3 linked regions of the Arabidopsis thaliana genome follow. The protein of the gene in region 2 interacts with the protein of the main gene of each other region in a pairwise test. Each region holds a gene or a part of one and is shown on either strand. Other genes may lie near its edges.

Evidence for each region. Proteins that work in one complex are often made in the same cells at the same time.
Region 1: the proteins of RVE1 (region 2) and AT4G14225 interact in a two-hybrid assay, tested with the Arabidopsis thaliana proteins (one large-scale study listed by BioGRID).
Region 3: the proteins of RVE1 (region 2) and BBX26 interact in a two-hybrid assay, tested with the Arabidopsis thaliana proteins (one large-scale study listed by BioGRID).

What each region holds. Positions count from the first base shown.
Region 1 is NC_003075.7:8,196,992-8,199,913, reverse strand, and holds AT4G14225 (A20/AN1-like zinc finger family protein), read right to left. Parts: upstream 1,138-2,922; coding exon 936-1,137; intron 888-935; coding exon 712-887; downstream 1-711. Other genes in the region: AT4G14226 (uncharacterized protein), read left to right, coding at 322-489; RHF1A (RING-H2 group F1A), read right to left, coding at 1,674-1,691, 1,793-2,090, 2,170-2,277, 2,616-2,905. UniProt on the Arabidopsis thaliana protein: May be involved in environmental stress response.
Region 2 is NC_003076.8:5,689,726-5,694,958, forward strand, and holds RVE1 (Homeodomain-like superfamily protein), read right to left. Parts: upstream 3,268-5,233; 5' UTR 3,200-3,267; coding exon of another isoform or gene 2,975-3,199; 5' UTR 2,711-2,974; coding exon 2,678-2,710; intron 2,266-2,677; coding exon 2,167-2,265; intron 2,086-2,166; coding exon 1,974-2,085; exon of another isoform or gene 1,907-1,973; coding exon of another isoform or gene 1,888-1,906; coding exon 1,826-1,887; intron 1,664-1,825; coding exon 1,349-1,663; intron 1,253-1,348; coding exon 710-1,252; 3' UTR 501-709; downstream 1-500. Other genes in the region: autophagy protein Apg5 family, read right to left, coding at 1-96; AT5G17305 (uncharacterized protein), read left to right, coding at 2,975-3,199. UniProt on the Arabidopsis thaliana protein: Morning-phased transcription factor integrating the circadian clock and auxin pathways. Binds to the evening element (EE) of promoters. Does not act within the central clock, but regulates free auxin levels in a time-of-day specific manner.
Region 3 is NC_003070.9:22,216,366-22,219,608, forward strand, and holds BBX26 (B-box zinc finger family protein), read right to left. Parts: upstream 1,468-3,243; coding exon 712-1,467; downstream 1-711.

The sequences.
Region 1 (2,922 bases), on a different chromosome or scaffold from region 2:
CTGAGATGCTATGCTCGCCAAGGAAGACTTCCTATTTTCTCTTCTCATTTCACCTCTTCTTTCCTACTTTACTCTCCATACTCTCCAAATCAACGTGAGACACAATCGTGTGGTTTTTTCTTTGAGTCTGTCATTTGCATTTAGAACAAATGATGATTACAATTTTTTGTTATAAAAAGAGATAAACGTTTGCAAAAATATTTCATCTAAAAAAAAGGTGCCTAGGTCTACTTAATCATAATTCTACTTCTACATTAACGTCATTGCTTTATCTAAATTTCAGCACTGAATCCATGCACTAGGATCGGGTCAACAAGGTCCATGAACTTCATTATGTGTAAGAATCCAGAAGCTGAGAACCCTGAAGTTTCTCTGGACACAACCCGGAAGATTAGTGGAAAGTGGAGGGCGTGGATGAACAACTCTTTGGCCTTAATGCTTCCATTACTCAAACAAATTTCCCATGGACAATCAGCAACAATCGACTAAATCTTGTTTGTTTTATAGATATGTTCGCTCAACGTCAAGTTTTAACGAATATTTCGAACGAGTAATCACTAGAAAAATAAATATTCTAGTTTCAAACTAACAATTTGTCGTTCTCACTAATCGAACACAATGTAATTAAGTTATAAGAACTAAATTATTTTATTTAATACCAATGGCAGAGAAAAAAAAGTTAAGAAAAAAACACAAGCATCGAAGGGTTGACTAAAGTCTGAAGAGCTTATCACCCTTGACGACAGGGTTTTGTTTTGCTAAGACGTCAATGGCGGCAGATTTATAATCCGATGGACATGAATGCTCTTCCGGGTAACGGTGAGACGCGAAGAATAAGTGGCCACATCTACAGTGAAACCCTAGCAACCCCACCTTCTTCTTGCACGCTTTGCATCTACTACTACTCTTCTTATAATCTTATCCTTCTTCTTCACCACAACCGCCTTTACTACCGAGTACCGTCGCCTCTTGCGCCGTGACCTCTTCAGCGGCTTTCGTGTTGACGTTGAAAGTGGCCAAGTATCTGGCAGACTCGTCCTTTAAGAAATCGTTGTAGCACTTAGAACAGAGGTTCTTCGTCTGTGACGTGCTGAAGAAGCCACACCCCCTAATGCATAAAGAAGGTTCTCCCGTCATTGTCTTCTTGTTTTGGTACAATCGTGTTATGTTTGCAACGTTTTGTGTACTTTGGCTTGGCCTTCTTATTTGTTTTTGCTCTTCACCATCTAATCTTATGTCTCAAAACTTTGTATGACTTGAGTTTTTATAGAGCTGTTGAAAGCCTTCCTCTGCCAGTATTCAGGTATTTTATGTCATATATAAATTAGGTTTTTATCTTCAAAATTCCTATTTTATTTATGGACTTGTCTATAAATAGATTCATAGTGCAATATTGATTAGGACTGATCCAATTCTTAGTGAAAAAACATAAAACATTATCCTTTGAAATTAATAAATATTATAGTTTTGGCTCCGTCAAAATCGAGTAATAAAATTATTACTCAGTTGCTTATTTTAGCCATCTAAAAGTACGCATCGCAAAGGTAACAGAGAGACGAGAGACGAGACCGTGAGCTCTGAACAATGCAGGATGCGAAGACCAACGGGTAAGTTGATTCAATGGAAACGTACATCGCTTGCATTAAAGGCCTCTCTCCATTTTTCTGATTGCCTCAGCACGTTTCTCCTCCCTGAGATGAATTCAACGATTCTCATTAGCAAAACCCATAAAAAGCTTTATGTTTTAAAGATACAAATGTTAGAAGACAAGAAACCGGGAGAAGTCTGAAACCTGCAGCTTTTGGGGTTCGGTTTTGTCTCCATTGTTGTTAGACTTAGAATTGGCTTCTACACGTTTCCCTTTGAATGAGAAATTGAATCCAGAAGCAGTAGCAGTGGAGGTTGATACATGAGCAGACCCTCCAAAACGTTTTGAAGAAAAATCCATGCGTTCGATCATTCGTGCAACACCAGCTATTCCTGCATTCATCTCACGTTGCACTCCTTTGCTCAATTCTTTCACTGAGTTATTGCGAGCAAGTAGCTTCTCTTTAAGACCTTGTTTACTTTTAGAGATCGATTCCTTGTACCTGGAGGCATGCATGTATGTCCCAGTCAGTTTTTATAACCAATTTCTGAACAAATGAAGAGGAATTGAGATAGCCATACTTTGCAGAAGCAGCAGCTAGTTTCGATTTAATGGCTTCCGGAAGCGAGGATGCTTCAGGTGATTTTGGACTTTGAGATGAACGAGATGGAGAAGGGCCAGGAGAGATTCTGATGACAGATACAAGAAAAGATGAAGATATATTACATATGGTTTAGGTAAGTTCTAAACAATTTAAAGGCTTGACCAATTCTCCAAGAAGTAGCTGCATAATAAAGAGACATGGTCTAGAATTCCAGAGCCATCTAAATTATTTATCAGTAGACGATAATCCCAGTAACTAAGCGAAACAGGAAGTATAAGAGCATCTGCATTGTGCAGCTCAAGCAAATGGAAACCATACAAATCATGAAAGCTGGTTATAGAGACAGCACAAGCAAATGGAAAGCGAATAAATCATGAAAGCTCGTTATCAATAAACCAGACTTGATTATGTGTATGTCAATACCTGGATCCGTTATTGCTATCTGCAGGAATGGAAGAATGACCAGAGACGGGAGATGGAGTCATTGAGCCAGGACTTGGACAAGGGTTTGAGTTTTGATGTTCAACATGGGAAATAGCAGAGAGACGATAAAGATTGACCAAATCAGTAGGATGAATCGTAGTGGGATCGCTGGACGAAACAAGACTAGAGGATATTTGACCATCCCTTCTGCGAAGCAAACAACGTCTATGTGCAGCTTCAGTAAGATGCCTCAAGAATTGTTCATCAAAGCTGCTAAACTGTGATTCCTCCTGGAAACATTATCAAG
Region 2 (5,233 bases):
AGGAGGAGCAGGGTGAGAAGCGACGTCGGATTTGTGGAGATGAATCTGCAGAGGAATTGCTCCTTCCCATACATACTTGACCGCTTCCTTCGCCATTCTCTTCCCCGTCACACCTTCTCACGCTCGCTCGCTTCACAAAAAAAACTCAGCTTTCAAAACGACGCTGTTTCTGTATGACGTCATCTTCTCTTGCGTCTTTATGTGGTATTAATAAGGCGTACGTTAGACACTGCTTAATCTGTTGGTGGCTAACGTGAAAGGGTGTTAACCGGTCTAATTTGGTCTGGTCAAATTCTATCAAAATTTCAGGTTAGAGTTGGTTTCCGAATCGGTTCGGTTATTTGTTGGGTTTGAACTTTGAACACACACTTGTTCAGTTGGTGGTAACCTCACTGTTTTTCTTCTTTGCCTTCATTTCAAAGCAAACTCTTTACCAAACCTAATTTAATCGGAGATATTGAAGAGAGACACCTGAAACTTGCTTTTGTTGAACCATCAATTAAGAAAGATCTCATAATCATTAGATTTAACTGTATAAATTGTACACGAGTTTTACAGTTACAAACTTTTGCAGAAAATTTTAGCCTAGAGAACAAACACCTCAAGAGAAAACAATGAAACAACAACAAAAATTACATTGATGAAAACTTAGAAAGTCGAATGAATAGTAAATTTAAAGTCTCTTCTTTAGGGTACGTAAGAAAATGTGTTATAAGTGGAGATGAATCTCATGCTCTTCTTCTTCTGTTACCATCTTTCTCTTCTTGTATGGACCAAATCCTCTTGAATTTGACTCGGAGTTTGTTCTTCTGAGCTCAGAAAATGCAGACCTCTCACTTGGTTTAAACTCCCATTGACATAGCATTGTTTCGGGTTCTGTGGTCTTTTCCGTGTGTCCCGTATCATCCACCGAACCAGTGTTTGATCCAGTCGATGATCCTTCGTTTTGGACAGCCTTTCCTGAATCCAAACATCTATTTTCCACATCTTCTTGCTTAAGAGGGACTTGTATCCAGCAGCTCAAGAGTTCTTCTTGTGAGTTTCTTATTATGGGTAGTGTCTTGGATGATGAGAGTTTCCGTGGTAATGGCTGAATTGGGGATTTACAATATGTTGAAGTTGTTAGAGAAGAGGACATGCCTGAATCAGATACCAAAACTGTCTTCCCAAAGAGTTTAAGACTTTGCTTCGTTGGTTCCTTGATCGAGCTCTCCCTGTTTAAGAGTCTCTCACTAGGAAACAACTCCAGCTTCTGTACAAATTGATTAAACCAAGAATATTAAGCATTAAGCATCTAACAGCAGGTATTGCTGTTAAGTATAAATTCGGTTTTGTTTATGTCAAGTACCAGAGTCTCAAGCTCTTCAGGTGCATTTGCAGTGGTTGTAAGAGCAGCTGGTGGTGATGCAGAAGAAACTGGGGACAAGCTTCGATTGGGTGAACTCGAATCAAGGGAACACAATGCTTCTGATCCAACAGTGGACAACACAGAGGTTGGAGATTGAGTATCACGTTCTGAGGGAGAAACCGATCTACTTGTTTGATCTGCCTCGTTCCCAAACTTACGAGGGTACGGATGCGCTGGCTTTCTCTTGGGACGAGGAGGAGGTATTACAATCGGCTCTACTGAGCTCCCATCACCTCCAGTTGCTTCTCGAGCAACCTGTGTGAATACAACAGAACAAAGCCAAGTCAGAACACAAGTCTCCAAACAATGTATGTATAATGATTCCTTATTTATGCAGAACTTAGGTTTGCTACAGAGATTAGACTGATACTTTCTTTGAACAAGGGTAAAGATATAATAGCAAATAAGTGTATAAACCTTAGAGAAAAACTTCTGAGCATGGCTTCGAATCTGAACTGCGGTCTTTGAGCCCACATGTTCTGTTAGTGAAACAAACATATATTTTTGAGGGTCCAGGTAAGGCCATAACTCAGTAGCAAGAGATATTACTAAATCATTAATTTACCTTCTATTCGTCTCCAAGCTCGCCCGTATAATTTCAAGGCTTCAACAAACTTCTTGTGCTCTTCATCTGTCCATCTCTCTCTCTCTTTTGTTATCGTGTATGGCTTCCGTACCTAAGTAAGAAAAGATGAACTGAGCCACAGATCTTCACTTTACATAACAATATTTGACATTTGATGTTAAAAGAAACAAACCTTGGGTGCATAGTCATTTCCCCCAAAACTTTGGTCATTGAATTGTATCTGCTTGTCTGCAGTTTCTTCATCTCTATTCCTCAAAGAAGCGTTGGTACCCTAAAGCCATCATCAAGCAAAACGACTTTAGGAAACATCATTTTAAGGACTATGACACAAAGTGGCATTGGATTATTTACTTTCTTCTTCAGTTTCTCAATGAACATTCATTCACAAAGTCCAACTAATTAAACTCGATTTACATATCCTAATCACAAAATTCCAACACAGTCGATTCCATCTCAAGGATTCAAATGAATGTAGTTGCAACACACAAATCTAGAGAGAACTTATAGCTCAAAAGAAACAAGAGTCTGCAAATGAATTGCAACGAACTTGCTTTAACTCTAAGCTTTATTACTTAAATGTCCGTATACAGTATTTTAAACTCATAGATTCATTTGAGACCAGACCTGAATAAAGCAGAAACAAAACAAAAAAAGTGGATAAAAATCAAATTTTGAGACCAGACCTGAACATTTGCAGTCAACGGAGACGACGCCATAACTTCCCGGATTAAGATCTCGGCGGAGGAAAACAAAAAAAAACTCGAAAGGTGTGGAACACAGAAAAGGAAACACCAAGATAAATTCGCGAATCTAGACTTGAAAAAATCAGCTTAATTTCCTCTGTTCTCCGTCTGTTTCTATAGATCCCATAAATTGATTCGGTTTACTTAGGCAACAACAAACGATTTGCTTCTGAAATCAGAACCAATCTAAGCTTCCACCTTCCGGAAAAAAAACTTCCAGCAAACCAGAGATTTCTTATGTTCGATAAAGGAAAAGAGAAAAAAACTCTCGCTGGAAATCTTGCCGCAAATAAGGATAAGAAGAAGGTCGGAAATGAAACTCTCAGAGAAACTCCGAGAAGTTTTGGTAGCCGGAGTAAAGAAAAAGACAAGCTTTCTGATTCGGCGGAAGAAGAAGAAAACAGAGAGAAAGAAGAAGAAGAGAAGAGTTTGGGGTCTGTGAAGGAGGAAGAAGGGAATTAGGGGGGTGAGAAAATAGGGAAGACAAAAAGGAGGGTGATGCCACGTCAGCTTCTGCTATGTGCGCTTTTTCCCAATTTTTAAAAAATAAAAATAATAATTCTTATTGGTTTTCCATGGAACGCTCGAGAAACAGATGGAAAATCTTGTGGCTCACGTTCAATGTCCATCTTTGCCACGTGTCGCTCTTTCTCATATTCTTCATCTTCTTTTTTTGCAACAAAATTTGTACTAGATTTATTCATTTATCTCTTTGAAAAATCAAATATTTAATTTTTTAAAATGAATCTACTTGTTTTAAAACAGTTAGATTTGGTACTTCGATTATCACTGTATGTATTTATTTAATTCCCCTACTTTTCCTTTCCTTTTTTGACATCATTTCAATTGGATAATCTTTTAATATAAAATATCAGGAAATATAATATTTATGTAACAAAAAAGATTTTGCTGGACGGAGAAATGTGAGCCACCAGAAGATACTTTTAAAGGAAAATATGGAAAGGCGTACTCTCGAGAGTATGACTTCTTAGCTTACTCGCTTTTCATTGGTTCCACTACATGAGATAAAAATGTAAATTTGCGGGATAAATTCATTTTCTTTTCTTAACTATATCTCTATTGATCCATATATGGGTGGACATATTCCAAAATTTATGATTGGTTCTTTGGATCCGGATCCATAGGATTTGTTTGCGGAACCATCCAAATCCATATCTATCAAAAATACTTCAAAATAATTAAAACAGTAATATATAAAACTATAATAAATAAAAAGTTAAAAATATATTTTGATTTATTTACATAAACTCTTTATGAAAATATTTATTAGGGTATTTTAAAAAGCTACATATGAAAACATATCCGAAGTGGATATCTTAATCAAAATCAAATTATTCGAATTCGAAAACTCTTAACATTTTATTTTTGGACCAGATCAGAAGATTTTATTATACACTTTGTCCAATCTTAGAAAACATAGTCTATCCATTTTTTATTTTGTGGGGTTCTACTCTTTTTTCTCCATTCTTCCATATATGAACACAATATTTGATAGTAAATTTATATATAAATTATAACCATCATAATATCTAAATTCAGATTTTAAAAAAGATTTCTGTCTAAACACATTTTTGCAGGACACTAAAATGGTTTATTTTATGAAATGAGATCCACAAAATGGGTTATTCAAATTTGGACTGATATTAAGATTTGTTGATGATGCTTCTATACTAGCAATAGCAAGCCTCATACAAATGCAATTGATAACGTATCCTACCATGATTCCGATATACATATAAAATTTGGACCTCTAAATTTTCCTATATTCTTTTTCATGTCAAACTTATATGTTTAGTTGGGAAAAATATTGCACAGAATTTTACATAGTTGAAATGGTTTTGAATCACAATCTAAATAAATGAAATTCCAAAATCAAGTGAAAGTAGAATGAGATACTATTTTTGGTTCTTTTTCGTTTTGTCGTTGTCTTTGTTTCATATTTTACGAAAAAACGAAAACCATAAGTTAAATATCTTCTGCCTCTATATAAAAACATGGTGGGGGTCTATCCATAACGTAAGTCTACGTATACATACCATATAATATAATATATACAGATACGAATCTATCTATGATATTTATAATTAGTTTCAACTTTCTCGAATTAATATGATTATCCATCGTCCAGGTCGTCATCAATTTTCACAAATGTGTAGATATTTTATTGAAATCATTGTTAAGCACATAATTTAATATACTCCTCAAATTGTAAAAGTCATCCTCGGTGGAAGTGAAAGTAATTACACTTTAATTTATAATATAGTACTAATACTAATAATTAGTGAATGTCAGTGCACTTTTCTCCATGTCACTGATTCTTATTTTAGCCGTCTGTTCTACAGAAACTTGACATGTGGAATGACGAGAAGGAGGGTTCTAGCCACTAGTTTTCTTTTTATTTGTTTCTTATTCATTTTATTCACGTTCACTGATAATACAACAAAATTTCTCAGCCACAAGAATTCCTTCTCGTTC
Region 3 (3,243 bases), on a different chromosome or scaffold from region 2:
AAATGACTATGTTTTCTCTTATTGAAGAAAATAGTCAGAAATAAAATATTAATAAAAATTATTTATTATACAAGCATATTTTCTTGCAGAACATCATGTAACTTTTTTTAACACAAAAAAGGTCATGTAAATTTTATTTGTACTATTTTTTGTCGTCATACTAATCAAAATCTTCTACTCTGCTTACTAATTGTGAGATATTCACGTAAAGTACAACAACAACATCAAAAATCAAGATAATTAGACGATTTTATTGAGAAAATCACATCCCCGGAAATATTGGAGTTGGTTCTTGACTTTCTTAAATAAAATTAAAATCGCAAAGTGAAATTTAATTTTATTGTTGAAAAAAAAATATTATTTAATTCCTATAAACCCCTTAAGCATCGATTGTTAATCAAATTAATTTGTGTTCTTAACATTTTAGCAAAATTGTTTTATGTTTTTTCGGTAATTGTGGTTTCTAGATAGTTTCTAGTTAAATGATGAGATATACATACATCAAGATATGATATCTTCCATCCTCGAACAAATTGGAGTTAGTTTTGACATTTTATTTTCTTCTAACATATTAAATCCAACTGATTGTTTTTTTTTTCTTCTTCTTTTCTTTTTCAAATCCAGAAGCAATTATAACACCAAGAATTAAACCCCTAACGAAAACTCTAAGAAACACACATAAATAAAAAGCTAAAGAAGACGATTTTCTATTCACCTACCAAACCAAGAAAAATCATCAACATCATCTAGATAATCATAATTAATATCTTGTTGAGGTAGTTCTGTTGGGGGCGTAACTGGAATCCCCTCTGCCGCAGGAGGATGAACCGGTGGGAAATTAAACTGATAGCCGCCAATGAGAAAACGGCGAGAAGGTCTCTTGCAGATTACGCAAAGCTTACACCTCGAATGCGGCGGCACCGCGTCCTCGTGACTGTGAATCATCCGGTCGCAACTATCGCATAGAATCTGGTTGTGTGTAGGACAATAAACAACAGCATTTGAATTCGAAGCTACGCATAACTCACATCTCATTGCAAACATCCATCTCTCGCAATTGTTATCCCCGTGGCAGCTCCTCTCAAACATCTCTGCTCTTCTTTGGTGACCACCCACATGCTGCTGCTGATGATTATTGTTATTGTTATGGTGAACCACATGAGGCATATGTGCATGATCATGGTGTTGATTATTCATGTTAGCGAAGACGACTTGAGTTTGATGGCCATTAGTGGCACAATTGTAATGGTGCGAATAACATGATTGACAAAGAACCATCCCGTCCTCATAACAGAAAAGTATAGACGGATACATCGAGCAGTTATCGCAAAGTTGGTAACGTACGTGTTCTGCATGTATGTTATTATGATGGCGAAGGTTGTCACATGTAAGGCAGAAGTTAAGAGCTTCTGTAACACAATGGATCACGGCTGTTACATGTCTACATGTGTGACAAACTTGAGCCATGTTTCCTGAAAAATATTCATATAAGATTATAACAAAATTATCAACTTCGCAAAACGGAAGAGAAGAAACACGAATTTAAAATAAAAAAAAACATTCAACTTACACGAACCAAGGAGAGAAGGAAGCCAAAGTTTTGTTTTCTCTGTGAAACAATCTGTGAAGCTCGTATTTAGATGGAGTTTCTAATTTGTAGATTTTTTTTTAACAAACTGATTATGTAGAAGGATATATTTTACTAAGTTATATACTTATCTTTAACTATAAATTATTCTCAAAATTCAACATTACATTTATTAATTGAGAATAAGAAAGAAAAAAGATAATTATATGATATTTGAAAAATTGATCCTTGTTTCTCATTTTTTTGTTAAGAATAAAGTTTTTTTTTTTCCTTTTATCGGATCTTAAAGATCAGTAAGAATAATGTCGTTTCTTAAATTTTGATGTAGAAATCTTTTTTTTTTGAAGAAAAAAATATCCCAACTTTATCAACATAACCAAACGGGGGACAAACAGGTAAATTAATGAGTTTTTTTTTTTTGTATAACTATTTTGCTTTAGAGTTTAGATTGTTAGCTTAGTACTTACATACTTAAGTTTCTGATCAGTCTTTGTTATGATTTTCACATGTAGGTAGGAAGCTGCGCTTTTGTTCTTTTTAATGTGGAAATGCAGCCTTAACAATGGATGGTATATGAATTTGAAGCTGCTCTTTTGTGTCTCTTTTTTGATGCGGATTAGCATGCTTTTGTGTAAAAAACAACTTTGCTAAGAGTTACTAACTATTCAAGTGTTTGTATGGTTCTGTAATATGGTTTTTTGATACAATGCTAGCTTGAACTTGATGTCATGCTTAGGCCTGGGTACGAATTTCTTTTTAGCATTTAAAAACGGGCAATTCTTGTATTCAGCATCTGTGATTTCTCATTATTTTGTCGTGTAAAGTTACTAAACTAGTTTAATTTAGAATTTATAGAAAAAAAGAAGTGGCTCTCATGACAAGTAGTCTAAATTCAGTAGAACATAAGAGTTATTTCATCACAGTACTAAGAGGAAGAAGAGAAGTTGCTCTGCAATTCCTTGATGCCTTTGGAATCAAGAAAAGAAGTTTTGCCCTTGAGAAAATCAGAGTACCAATGAGCAGAGAGTCTAGGAGATCTCTTGCGATGTGGATCACTGAAATTTACAGAGTACAATCCATAACCATAATCGTACCGCCCTATAAGCTCGAATAAATCCATAAATGACCATACAAAATAGCCTCTAGTGTCTGATCCATTCCTACACGTAGCAATGTCCTTTTCCTTAATTACACGAACAAGATAAGAGAAGAAAAGATGCAATAAAAAAACTTTACTTACCTTATGGATTTGAGCACACCACCAATGTAAGCATTCATGTATTCCACCCTATGTGTATCCTTGTGTTGCGTCATCGGTGTACCTGTTTGTATATGACATTTTAAGTCCAAATCAAAAACATGAGGGAGAGACGAATAAATTAATCATAGAAGAGATTGACCATTCTCAAGAATGTAGACAGGAGGATTGTCATAGCTCTGCTTTATATACTCTAGGACAGCTTCCATAGTCCACGGAGCAACAGGATACTTGTCCAAACAAAAACAAAACAAACAATGAAAGATAGATTAGTAGCACTTATTTGTTTAAAGACTTATAATGTCAAGGAATATAAGGTGTTTTGTATCTGAATTTGGTAGCCTTAAAACTCTTACCTCTATAACTGAAAAATTCCCAAGGTCTTCTAACCAGTAAA